3 linked regions of the Coturnix japonica genome follow. The protein of the gene in region 3 interacts with the protein of the main gene of each other region in a biochemical or structural test. Links are inferred from orthologs where the notes say so. Each region holds a gene or a part of one and is shown on either strand. Other genes may lie near its edges.

Region 1 (3,518 bases), on a different chromosome or scaffold from region 3:
TCACAAACTGTTGTAATCCCCGTCATTAGCAAAAATTAATTACAGCAGAAGCTGTGGATTACATAACATGAGTTAAAACAAAAAGCACCCTTTCATACAACTGGTGACTGAATGCAACAACATATTGCATTCAGTAATTTCTAAAGCAGTCCAGTCCTGCTTTAAACACATCTTCAAAAAACAGATATATAAGAAAAAATAACTAAGAGTTAAAAGCCTTGCTTGTCTTGCTGCATTATCATAGCTACACATAATCATCTGCCACTTTTGCTACAATAGAGCCTAAAGTACACTGGAGCAGACAATCAGACAGAGGCAGGTAACTGTTACATGTCACACTGTTGTTTTGTGCTTTCATACATCCACTCTTCAACAACTGCATCATAAACACAAATTAGAAACACATGCCTTAAAAACCAAGTGGGGAGCCACTACGCAATGAACTCAGCTCCACCTGCAATGTGGAAAATTAAACCCTGTTTACAAGCATTGTGAGTTTCTGAGGAGGATGTAGGACTTAAACCTGTTGCAGGTACATTACCTGCTTGGAGGTAGTCTGGCAGCAGTGTCTCAGGCAGTGTCTCAGGCAACTGGTAACCATTCTTCCTTGCAACCACCAGATGGAAAGCAGCACAAAACTCAGGGAGTGTCAGAGCCCCATCGCAATCCACATCACTCAGCTCCCTGCAGGTACAACAGTCACATATTTACCAAGCCATCCCCTCAGGGAAATGTACACATGCAACCACAGAGGATGGAGAAATAAAGCTTTGAAGACAGGTATTCTGATAGAGGACAACCACCATTTTTTCTACTTGATCGTAACTATTAAAACTCCTAGTACCACAGAAGAGACTGCGTTGGAAGGGACCTTACAGCCTACCCAGCCCCAACCCCTGCTGTGGGCAGGGCTGCCCTGGGCCCCATCCAACCTGGCCTTGAGAACCTCCAGGGATGGGGCACCACAGCTTCTCTGGGCAGCTGTGCCTCACCATCCTCTGGGTAAAGAATTACCTCTTAATGTCTAATCTAAATATCTCCTCATTTAGTTTAAAGCAAACATCCACATCTGGCATCACGGGCCAACATAATAAAGTAGAAAGCATTATTTCTGGAGCAGCCCTTGCACATATCTTGCATTTCTTAGGGTGAAATCAACTTTCTAATGGTTGAAAGCAGTTTTGACTAACCCATGCAGGATCTTAAGCCAGTTCAAGCAAAGTTAAAAACAGACTTCAGCAAATGTTTAATCAGCAACAAAGACTAACCCCAAGAAAGTAGGTAAATTAAAGTTCTTGATGTTTCCCAATATTGTTAACTGCACATTAAATCTCTTGTTCCTTTAACTCTAGAATGCTCACAAAACAATAAACCTGGGCTTCAGGTATCCAAGAATTCAATTATATAAATTAACTCCTGTGCCAGAAGTAAGTAATATCTTACTGTTACAGTTATTAAAATAAATAAACATATAAGTTTTGACATTTTGAAAATAACAATTACATTTTCAAGCTGCTGAGGTCATGGTGACAAAGACTGAAACATCCCACACACTTAACAGAGTAGAACAATTGATAAATCACTACAAAATTATTATTATATACTAGAAAGGAATGCTTTCTTTGAATTTTGTGCAGAGAATAACCTACGTGAACAATACAAATACAACGTGTTCTACTAACATATTGGCTTAATCTGTTCTTCTTATATAATCTTTTCTTCAAATTCAAATACTGACTTCCCCTAACAGAATGCATCTTTGGTTGTGTTTCTGTTGGTTTTTTTTCACAGAAACATAGAATGGCCTGGCTTGAAAAGGACCTCAAAGATTATCTGGTCTCAACTCCCTGCTATGTGCAGGGTTGCCAACCACCAGACCAGGCTGCTCAGAGCCACATCCAGCCTGGCCTTGAATGCCTCCAGAAATGGGGCATCCACAGCCTCCTTGGGCAACCTGTTCCCCTGTGTCACCACACTCTGAGTGAAAAAATTCCTCCTTGTATCTAACCTAAATTTCCCCTGTCTCAGTTTAAAACCATGCTCCCTTGTCCTATCACTATCAACCGATGTAAACAGTTATACCCCCTCCTGTTTATGTAGTCCCTTCAAATATTGAAAGGCCACAATGAGGCTTCCCCAGAGCCTTCTCTTCTCTTCCCCGAGCAGCTTTGTTGTGTTGTTGGCTTTTAACTTTTATTTTCTTGACTTACAATCTGCCCTGAAAAGATTCCAGACATATTCTTGGACCTCAATAGATGTTTAGGCTCTTGCAAGCTTTTCTTCATATCTATCCTCACAAGAGCTTATATTAAGTAAAAACTCATCAGCATTTTTGAACAGCAATTAAAACTGTCTTCCTACCTAGATGCAAGGAAGACACTGACTTACAAAGCACCATGTTGTTTATGAAAAGATTATAGAATCCTTGTCAAATTTTATCATGTACAGTTCCATCTGCAATTGTTTCTAAATAAGTTCATTAAAAGGAAGTGTGGTGCTTCATTAGAAAAGCATTGATGAATTACGTAGTTGTACTTACCAAAAATTAGGCATTAATTAGGCCTCATCTGACAAAACAAAGCCAGAACTATAAAGCCAACAACACATATAAATATTCCAAATGTGTCTTTCTCTACACGAAAAATGTCATTTTGTTGAGCTAATGAAGTTCCTTTATCACACTTAGGAACATCTCTCAGTTACGCTGCTGTTCAAGCCTTCCCCGTCCTGCTGAGCAGGCAAACATCCCTGCAGAAAACAAGCGTGTCAGGAAGATCAATGAGCACCCTGCTGCTTGGGCCTGAGAATGATTCTGGAGATAAGAGCGATAATTAGAACTGAAGACACTTTTTTAATTCAAAAAGAATTCTTCAATTAAGTATCTTTTGAAAAACAGGATACAGATCCCAAACGCTACTACAGTACTTACCAGATGTGAGAAAGCTCTGGGATGGGCAGCTTTGATTTCGTGAAGAAATTCTTTGCAACGGAACCTGTTGGGAAACCAACTTATCAACTGCTAGAAATTGATTCTCCAGTTGTTTTGGCTGGGGCATCTGCACCAGAAGCAGCTGGTTACTGTACATTCAGTAGGCACTAGGATTAACTGCATCCTAATGTAGCTGTTGGACCATTTGTGACAGAGATATCCAGACAGAGCTGTTGACCTCATTTCCCCATTCCCTCCACATGGGAAAAATAGATAAAAGAAAAAACGGTTCACTGATAGTGATTATAACTAACACATTACCATGTCACCAAGGATGAAATAACGGACACAAACAGCTCTGCTTCACTCAGAAGTCACGTGCATGGCAGTGCAGTGCTGCAGTGTCTGCTATTCTCCCAAACTGCTGCTTCAACCACAACATCACCTTGAATGGCCCAAATGTGAAATAAGCACATGGGCATATTGCTACTGGGGCAGCACAAGTTCTTTGTGTTCTGGAAGCCCTGCCAGGATGCAAGCTTACAAAACCTACGTTGGTATTTTACAGAATGTAAGGTAACACACACTT
Region 2 (3,518 bases), on a different chromosome or scaffold from region 3:
CATTTGGATTAATAAGGCACTGATTTTTTTCTTCACCTTGCTACTAAAATGAGTTTGTATTGTTGGTGTGTGTTTCTGAGGGGAAAGGAACATAATAAAGAATTCAGTTACTGAGGAGCTCAATAAAACTTATTGCTAAAATATAGAAGAGAGAATGTAGCAGCCTAAACAAAGGATGACTTCTGGATTCAGAAATGAAGCTTGCCTCCCACTGATTATGTAGTTGTAATCTCTGATTAGTGGTATGATCTTCAGTGTTTCAATGAAATTTTAATGTATTGGGTTGTTTTTGTGGTTTTTTTTTTTTTTTAATGAAAGAAAAAGCAAATAACTATTTTTCTCTTAGAATTAAAGCTTGTGTGATGCACGTGAAATATTAGCCTTTGAAAGGTAACACGTTGATACTCTGAAATCTGACTGATCATCACCACAATTTATACTATGAAAGTTAATGATCAGAGGAGGAGCAGTGAACAAAGGCAAAGCTAATCTGTTCTATCACAGGATCTACAAGATGAAGTAAAACGGGAGAGCAGTAATCTGCAAAAGCTGCAAGCTCAGAAACAGGAAGCACAGGAAATACTCAATGATCTTGATGAGCAGAAGGCCAAGTTGGAAGAGCAACTCAATGATATCAGGCAGAAATGTGCAGAGGAGGCCCACTTGGTAAGGTCTAGTTAGTGGCTTCAGCCCTTAAGGAGAACTGCTGCATTTTGAATATTGCATGCTTGCAGTGTGTTGTGGTGGTTGGGAAAGGAGAAAAATCTTTCAAGATTAAACAGGCTGAGTTTCAGGATTTTGTGACCAGCAGAGACATCAGTTATTTCACTGACTTCTTTATGTCTCAGTGCGCCAACAACTGCAATAAGATATGTTTGCACACATGTAAGGTTGTGTACAAACAAATGACATAAATGTGTAACACAATGTATATGTAACTAGAAACACTAATTACCAGGACTGATTTCTTGGGATTTAAAAAAAAAAAAATTCTAACATAAAATTTCAGAGTTGGTTTTGTTGTGGTTTTTATATATATATATATATCTTTACTATTAGTAATATTTGTATTGGTCAGGAAAACAGCTTAATCTCATTGGGACAAATAGCAAATTAATCTTCTGGTAGAGTATGGTCTGAAATCTCTGCTATAGCTGGTCATAAATCTGGTCATAAATCCTAGCCTTTGCTGGATATATTTGGAGGTGTGGGATATTTTTGGTGTGGTGATGTTGGTTGTTGTTGTTGTTGTTTTCCTAATTTGGCTTTGGAATCCTTGTTTATGCTTTAGATTGCCATGCTGAAAGCTGAAATAACAAGCCAGGAGACAAAGATATCAGCATATGAAGATGAACTGACCAAAGCTCAAGAGGAGCTGAGTCGTCTGCAGCAAGAAACTGCAGAGCTTGAGCATTGCATAGAGTCTGGGAAAGCACAGCTGGGACCTCTTCAGCAACATCTGCAAGATTCACAACAGGAAATCAATTCGGTAAGGCACTGTGAAAAGGGAGGGGGAAAAAAAAAAGGAAAAATAATAATTTAAAATACAAAAAACAGGAAAAAAATGCCAGTGATCACCAGCAGTATGGCCAGCTTCCTTGGCACAGCAGATTCTCAGGTCTACCATATCTCTTCTAGATTAGTTTTGTAGTTCTCTATGAAATTCTATAGTTATATTGTACTTGATTTTGCATGAGAATTACAGCTATATACCTTCCATCTCACATTTAAGAAGGTTAAGTTGTATTCTAGTTTCCATGTACTACTGCGCTGATACACATGCATTATTTCCATTTACAGGTGCAGACAAAACTTCTTGAGCTGAAAGAACTGGAAAGTAACCAATTTAGTTGGCACTCTCAGCCACAGAATGTACTTGTTAATGGAACTGCGGATCATTCTAGTCTCAGCAACAGCAGCAGCGAAACTGCTAACCTTAATGAGAATGCTGAAAGGGAAAGCATAGCTGAAGATGAACAAATAAACAACGTATCCCCAGTGAGTAAAGTGTTTTGCCTGTGTAATTGTGATGCAATGCAGCTGTGAAGTTGGAATAAATTAAGAATGTATTAAGATTGATTGTATTTTGTTTTTAAGCATTTGCAAAGTGAGCTTTCAGGATGTTATTCTGAGGGAGTATTCCAGAGATCTGGAAGTTGATAAGAAAGAAACAGAAAAAGAGGCAACAGAATTCTTTTTGTGCATTTGTTTCCAAAGCTAAATGTCATAAATTGAAGAGCAAAATTAATGTTAAATATGAGCAGCTGTTTCCAATTGGTGCAGCAGAAATAGAATGAAGAATAGTACAGAAATCTGAATGCTGTCTTGCTATTTAAATGTCTATTTTCTTTGTCTCAATTTATCAAACACTTCAGTGTTTTCTAAGTATGAACCTCTTGAGGTATCCTTTAGTATATCCTTACAACAGTTTGGTACTTAAAATGGAGTAAGCAGTGTAGTGCTCTATAAAATGGAGTAAGCAGTGTAGTGTTCTGTTTACTTACATTGAATTGCTTTTATCCTTACGTAGCCAAGAAATAGTCCTGAAACAACAACTGCTGCTGCAGAAGAAGACAAAGAGACTCCAGCTGGAACTGTTACAAGAAAAGTGAGTTTGTTCAAATTTAAGGGAGGAAGAAATGAATGTAAAAACAAAAAAACCCACAAAATAACTAGGGCATGATGCCACAAATGCATTCATCTTATATAGCAGGTTGATTTTTACTGGGGAATGCTGTGGCTCTCTGTTGAGTCTTGATGAATTCAAACTCATTTCAGCTTTAAGAAGTTAATAAATGATAAGAGAATGAGATAAATGTCTCAGACTTCACACCTTTCTTTGCTTCTTTTGGGTTCTTCAGGAGGATCCATTTGATGCTGAATCTCACCCATTGCCTGATATAGTTTCTGAAGCAAGCTTAGAGTTCTTCCAGTCCGACCCTTTTGTTGGCAGTAAGTACACTCTTCTCTCCAAAAATGTGACAGATTAAACTTCTAGTCTTTATGAAATAAATGTGAAAGTACTTGAGTGACAAGAGCCAACAGCAGTACAGAAATATAAATGAGAGTTCTACGGTGTATCTCTTTGCTTTACCTGTGTGGTTTTTTTTCTCTGAGTGCCTCTTTTATTTTTTTCCCCTCTGGAGGTCTCATTTTGGTATTAAAGGTGTGGGCATACTTGTGATACATGTGGTGTCAGTGATCTAATTTGCAGCACAGAGTCACAAACAGGTCATCTGAGGGTTCAGTGAACTGTGGTGTGGGGAGAGTGTGGGTGGCTGAGAGTGAATGGCTGTGGCCTACTTATGGCAAGTTAGGCACTCAAAAAAAGATAATGTGGAACTGTACCATCTGTTCATCTGTGGAAGTGCTATGCTTTATTTTAAGAACTTGCCGCTCAAGAATTCTGTTGCTCCAGTTTTTTTTCTTATAACATTGGAAGGAGTGATCTGTCTGCATAGAGACACTTGGAATATGGGAAGAGTTAATTTGGATTAACTGTTGAAGCAGATGTATGC
Region 3 (3,518 bases):
GAGGCTGTTTTTAGTCAGTGTACCTGCCTTGTCTGTTGCACTGCACCGCTTGGCAGAAAAGCAATGAAAAATAAAGCAACAAAACTTCTAGAGAGAGTATGATTTGAAATAATGATTTGTGTATTAATGCATGGAGTTTATTATAAATTATTGATCCACCTTGTTTTGAAGGCTGATAAAATGTGATGGATTGGGATGGCTGACTATGTGTTTTTAAGGGCTCGTCTTATATGAACAATCTTTGAGACACAAGTGGAAAGAATAAGCTTGTGTCTTCGTCTGTTTTGCTGGAACTTGAAATGTAGTAAGCTTATTTTTTTGTTTCCTTCAGGTTTTGAATGAAGAATGTGATCAGAATTGGTACAAGGCAGAACTCAATGGAAAAGATGGCTTCATTCCCAAGAACTACATAGAAATGAAACCACATCCGTAAGTAGAGCCTTGGTGGTAGTGCCTGTGTTTGGTTGGTTTTAAGCATAGATAAATTGACCTTTTCTGAAGACATTTAAACTGCTGATGGCATCTGGATCATGTGTCAGCAGTGCTGGAAGTCTTCATTAGTGCATTAGCAACCTGAGGAAATTACAAAAAGTTTGTATACTATCGTGTTTACTGAGCAATAATGAAGAGCTCTCTAAGTAGTCCAGCAGGGCATACAAAAACAAACTTCAGCCAGCTGACCAGGTGTAAGAAAGAGAGCATTCCTTTTCTTAGAGCTGGTGTCAGTGTTGTTGGAAGGAGGTGTAAGTATTTTTTCAAGAGAATTTAGAAGGAAAGTAATTGAAAATGCCTTTATATGTTAAGGATTTCACTCTTACTGCATTTCTGCTTCCCTAAATTAGATGAAATAGGGCTATTGTGAGCATGTGCTCATGAAATCATGGTAGCTTCACTGCTAGGACAAAATGTGAGAAGTTGCATAGTTTGGTAGCCTGTAGTAGATTAACAATAAATAGATGCAGTTCAGTCATTTCTGCTAGAATTCATCTGATCTCCGTGGGGATACCTGTGTTGGGCTCTTCCATAAGACAGTTCAACTCCTTAACTTTCTCTGTTTTCTTCTTGCTTACTCCACAGGTGGTTCTTCGGAAAGATTCCCCGAGCGAAGGCTGAAGAGATGTTAGGCAAACAGAGACACGATGGTGCCTTCCTTATCAGGGAGAGCGAGAGTGCTCCTGGGGACTTCTCTCTCTCGGTCAAGTAAGTAGTGCCCAGAAATAATCGTGTGGAAATCAGGGCACTTGATGCTCATTTTGACTCCTGGATAGATAAGTGATTATCAGTGCTGAGGAGCGGCAATAATCAAGATAGCATACCTATTCTTCTGGTGATAATGTATTTTTGTCTTTATTAAAGAGGAAGTACAGATAAGCTCTGTTTTGTAATGAGCCTACATGGCTGACTTGGTGGTGTGTTGCTGTCTGACTTAAGTGTTTTCAGGCACTATTTGTTAATTTGTGGATCCCATTTCTCCTTCCTCCAACTATGAACTGCCCAGTTTGTACATACTGCTTTCCATCCTCCTTTGTTCCTCTTCCATAGAACAAGTCATTATTCTCTTCTGTCTTTGGATAATACACTTCCAAATATTTTTCATGACTGCTTGGCACATGCTTTGGGGATATTCATCTTAGCCAGCACTGGGACATGGAGCTAATGAAAACAAATTCTTTTCCATTTCTCAAATGCATTCCATTAATGGAATTTCAATATAGAGGAATTTCTTTCTGTCTAGTAACATTGAAGGTAGGCAGGAACAGTTCCCATCCTTGTATAACATTTCTAGAAATGCTAACTTTTAATCAGCAGCAATTTCTGATAGTTAACATGTGAGCCATGTTTAACCATCTCACAGCTCTGTATAAGCCGCCATAAATTGAAGTATTAAAAAGTTGGAAGAGTATGGGATGTAAGGTAGCATAGGAAGGAAGGAATTCCATCCTCAGCAGCTGATTTTTATCTTTCTTAACTTTCTGTAACCTTCCCCTTTCCTTCCAGAAATGAACAGGGTTTTCTTTAGTATCTTATATTGATTATTCACGCACAGTTCCTTGTTTGCTGTATTTTTGGCTCATCTTTGGGCTGTACCCAGATTTTGTCATCCTGTACACCAGTCTTGATCCAGCCAACAAACTGAATTAAAACCACTCTTTTTAGAAAGGTGTTTATAGTTCTGCTGGGTACAATAATCTGAGCTGGAATACAAGATACGAATGGGAGCTCCATTGCAGACATCAACTTCCTTCATGAAACTTGGTTTTGACTGTAGCTCTGCTTATCTTGTCAGCTTAGTGTTGCCACCTGGTGGTAGTTTGGTTTTTTTTTTTCCTGGTGGATTAATTTAGAAAAAGCTTTCTTCCACTCACCCCCAAACAGTGATTTGCAAGATTTGAAATGATGAGAATCTCTCAGGTTGAAGAGGAAACAGCAAAGGCAGTACTCACTGATTGTTTCATGTTAACGTTGTAGCCAAGACTATGCCTGCACTTTAAGCTCTTGATGCCAGGTGGAGAATGTACTCCTCACCCATTTTCAGTGTTTTTGTTTCAGAATAAAGTAAAAATGCTAACGTGCTGTTCATCTGGAAAAACTTTGGAGTTGCACTTTACGTAGAATAAAAGTTGAATGCCATCACATGTCAAAATATAGAAGTGGAAAAGTCTGTCTGTTTTGCAATACATCATTTTTTTTTTGTAACTCCATGCTTAGAGACAGTCCTGCCGTACTTGTGGCAGTTCTTTTCCCAGCACTTTTTGTATGTTTTCAAGGGTCTGCTTCACAGCAGCCAATTGATACCTGCAATCATTGTCACCAGCTATGTCCCGAATGATTTTTGTGTTGTAAAGTCTCACAATCCTAGAAGAGTGCTCAGTGACTGTGTTCTTCTCTGTATTGTTTGCTCATTTCCCACAGGTTTGGAAATGATGTGCAGCACTTCAAGGTGCTTAGAGATGGGGCTGGCAAGTATTTCCTCTGGGTGGTGAAGTTCAATTCTTTGAACGAGCTGGTAGATTATCACAGATCCACATCTGTCTCCAGGAACCAGCAAATATTTCTACGAGATATTGAACAGGTGCCACAGGTAAGAGAACTGTTTGTTCAGAGCATATTTAAACTAATGCAACCATGGGTTGCATCTGGGATTGTATCTTGATGGTGATGGAGAAAAGCTGACTTTTTACCTGTAGGAGTTTATTTTTGGATCTTGCTGCCAGAGTTGTACTGGAAAATAATCTGGATGTTTGTGCACAGCCTACCTGCTAAAACTTAGTATCCATTTCTGGTGGTGTTACTGTTGCTGCCTGAACATTTGGCTTGTGTTAATGTTTTTGGGTACTGTTGAAATAAGATAATCCAATTCCTGTGAATTAAGAAGGTGTTTACTCCTGTTTTAGGACACAGTAAGAAAGCACAGTTATGTACTGGTTCATAGCCAGAACTGTCCCGTCCCGTCCATCCCCCCCCCCCCCAAAAGCAGTGAAATTTTGGTAGTAGTCTTGCCTGAAGAAGTGGCTACA

Evidence for each region.
Region 1: the proteins of GRB2 (region 3) and REPS2 form a complex in vitro, tested with the Homo sapiens proteins (2 studies listed by BioGRID and IntAct, with this or other methods). The link is inferred for Coturnix japonica from reciprocal best matches to the Homo sapiens genes GRB2 and REPS2.
Region 2: the proteins of GRB2 (region 3) and EPS15 form a complex in vitro, tested with the Homo sapiens proteins (2 studies listed by BioGRID, with this or other methods). The link is inferred for Coturnix japonica from reciprocal best matches to the Homo sapiens genes GRB2 and EPS15.

Annotation. Positions count from the first base shown.
Region 1 is NC_029516.1:109,325,860-109,329,377, forward strand, and holds part of REPS2 (ralBP1-associated Eps domain-containing protein 2), read right to left. Parts: intron 2,994-3,518; coding exon 2,930-2,993; intron 685-2,929; coding exon 542-684; intron 1-541. UniProt on the Homo sapiens protein: Involved in ligand-dependent receptor mediated endocytosis of the EGF and insulin receptors as part of the Ral signaling pathway. By controlling growth factor receptors endocytosis may regulate cell survival.
Region 2 is NC_029523.1:21,490,575-21,494,092, reverse strand, and holds part of EPS15 (epidermal growth factor receptor substrate 15), read left to right. Parts: intron 1-504; coding exon 505-666; intron 667-1,291; coding exon 1,292-1,489; intron 1,490-1,800; coding exon 1,801-1,998; intron 1,999-2,530; coding exon 2,531-2,608; intron 2,609-2,861; coding exon 2,862-2,952; intron 2,953-3,518. UniProt on the Homo sapiens protein: Involved in cell growth regulation. May be involved in the regulation of mitogenic signals and control of cell proliferation. Involved in the internalization of ligand-inducible receptors of the receptor tyrosine kinase (RTK) type, in particular EGFR.
Region 3 is NC_029533.1:9,398,537-9,402,054, reverse strand, and holds part of GRB2 (growth factor receptor-bound protein 2), read left to right. Parts: intron 1-331; coding exon 332-429; intron 430-1,077; coding exon 1,078-1,200; intron 1,201-2,913; coding exon 2,914-3,082; intron 3,083-3,518. UniProt on the Homo sapiens protein: Non-enzymatic adapter protein that plays a pivotal role in precisely regulated signaling cascades from cell surface receptors to cellular responses, including signaling transduction and gene expression.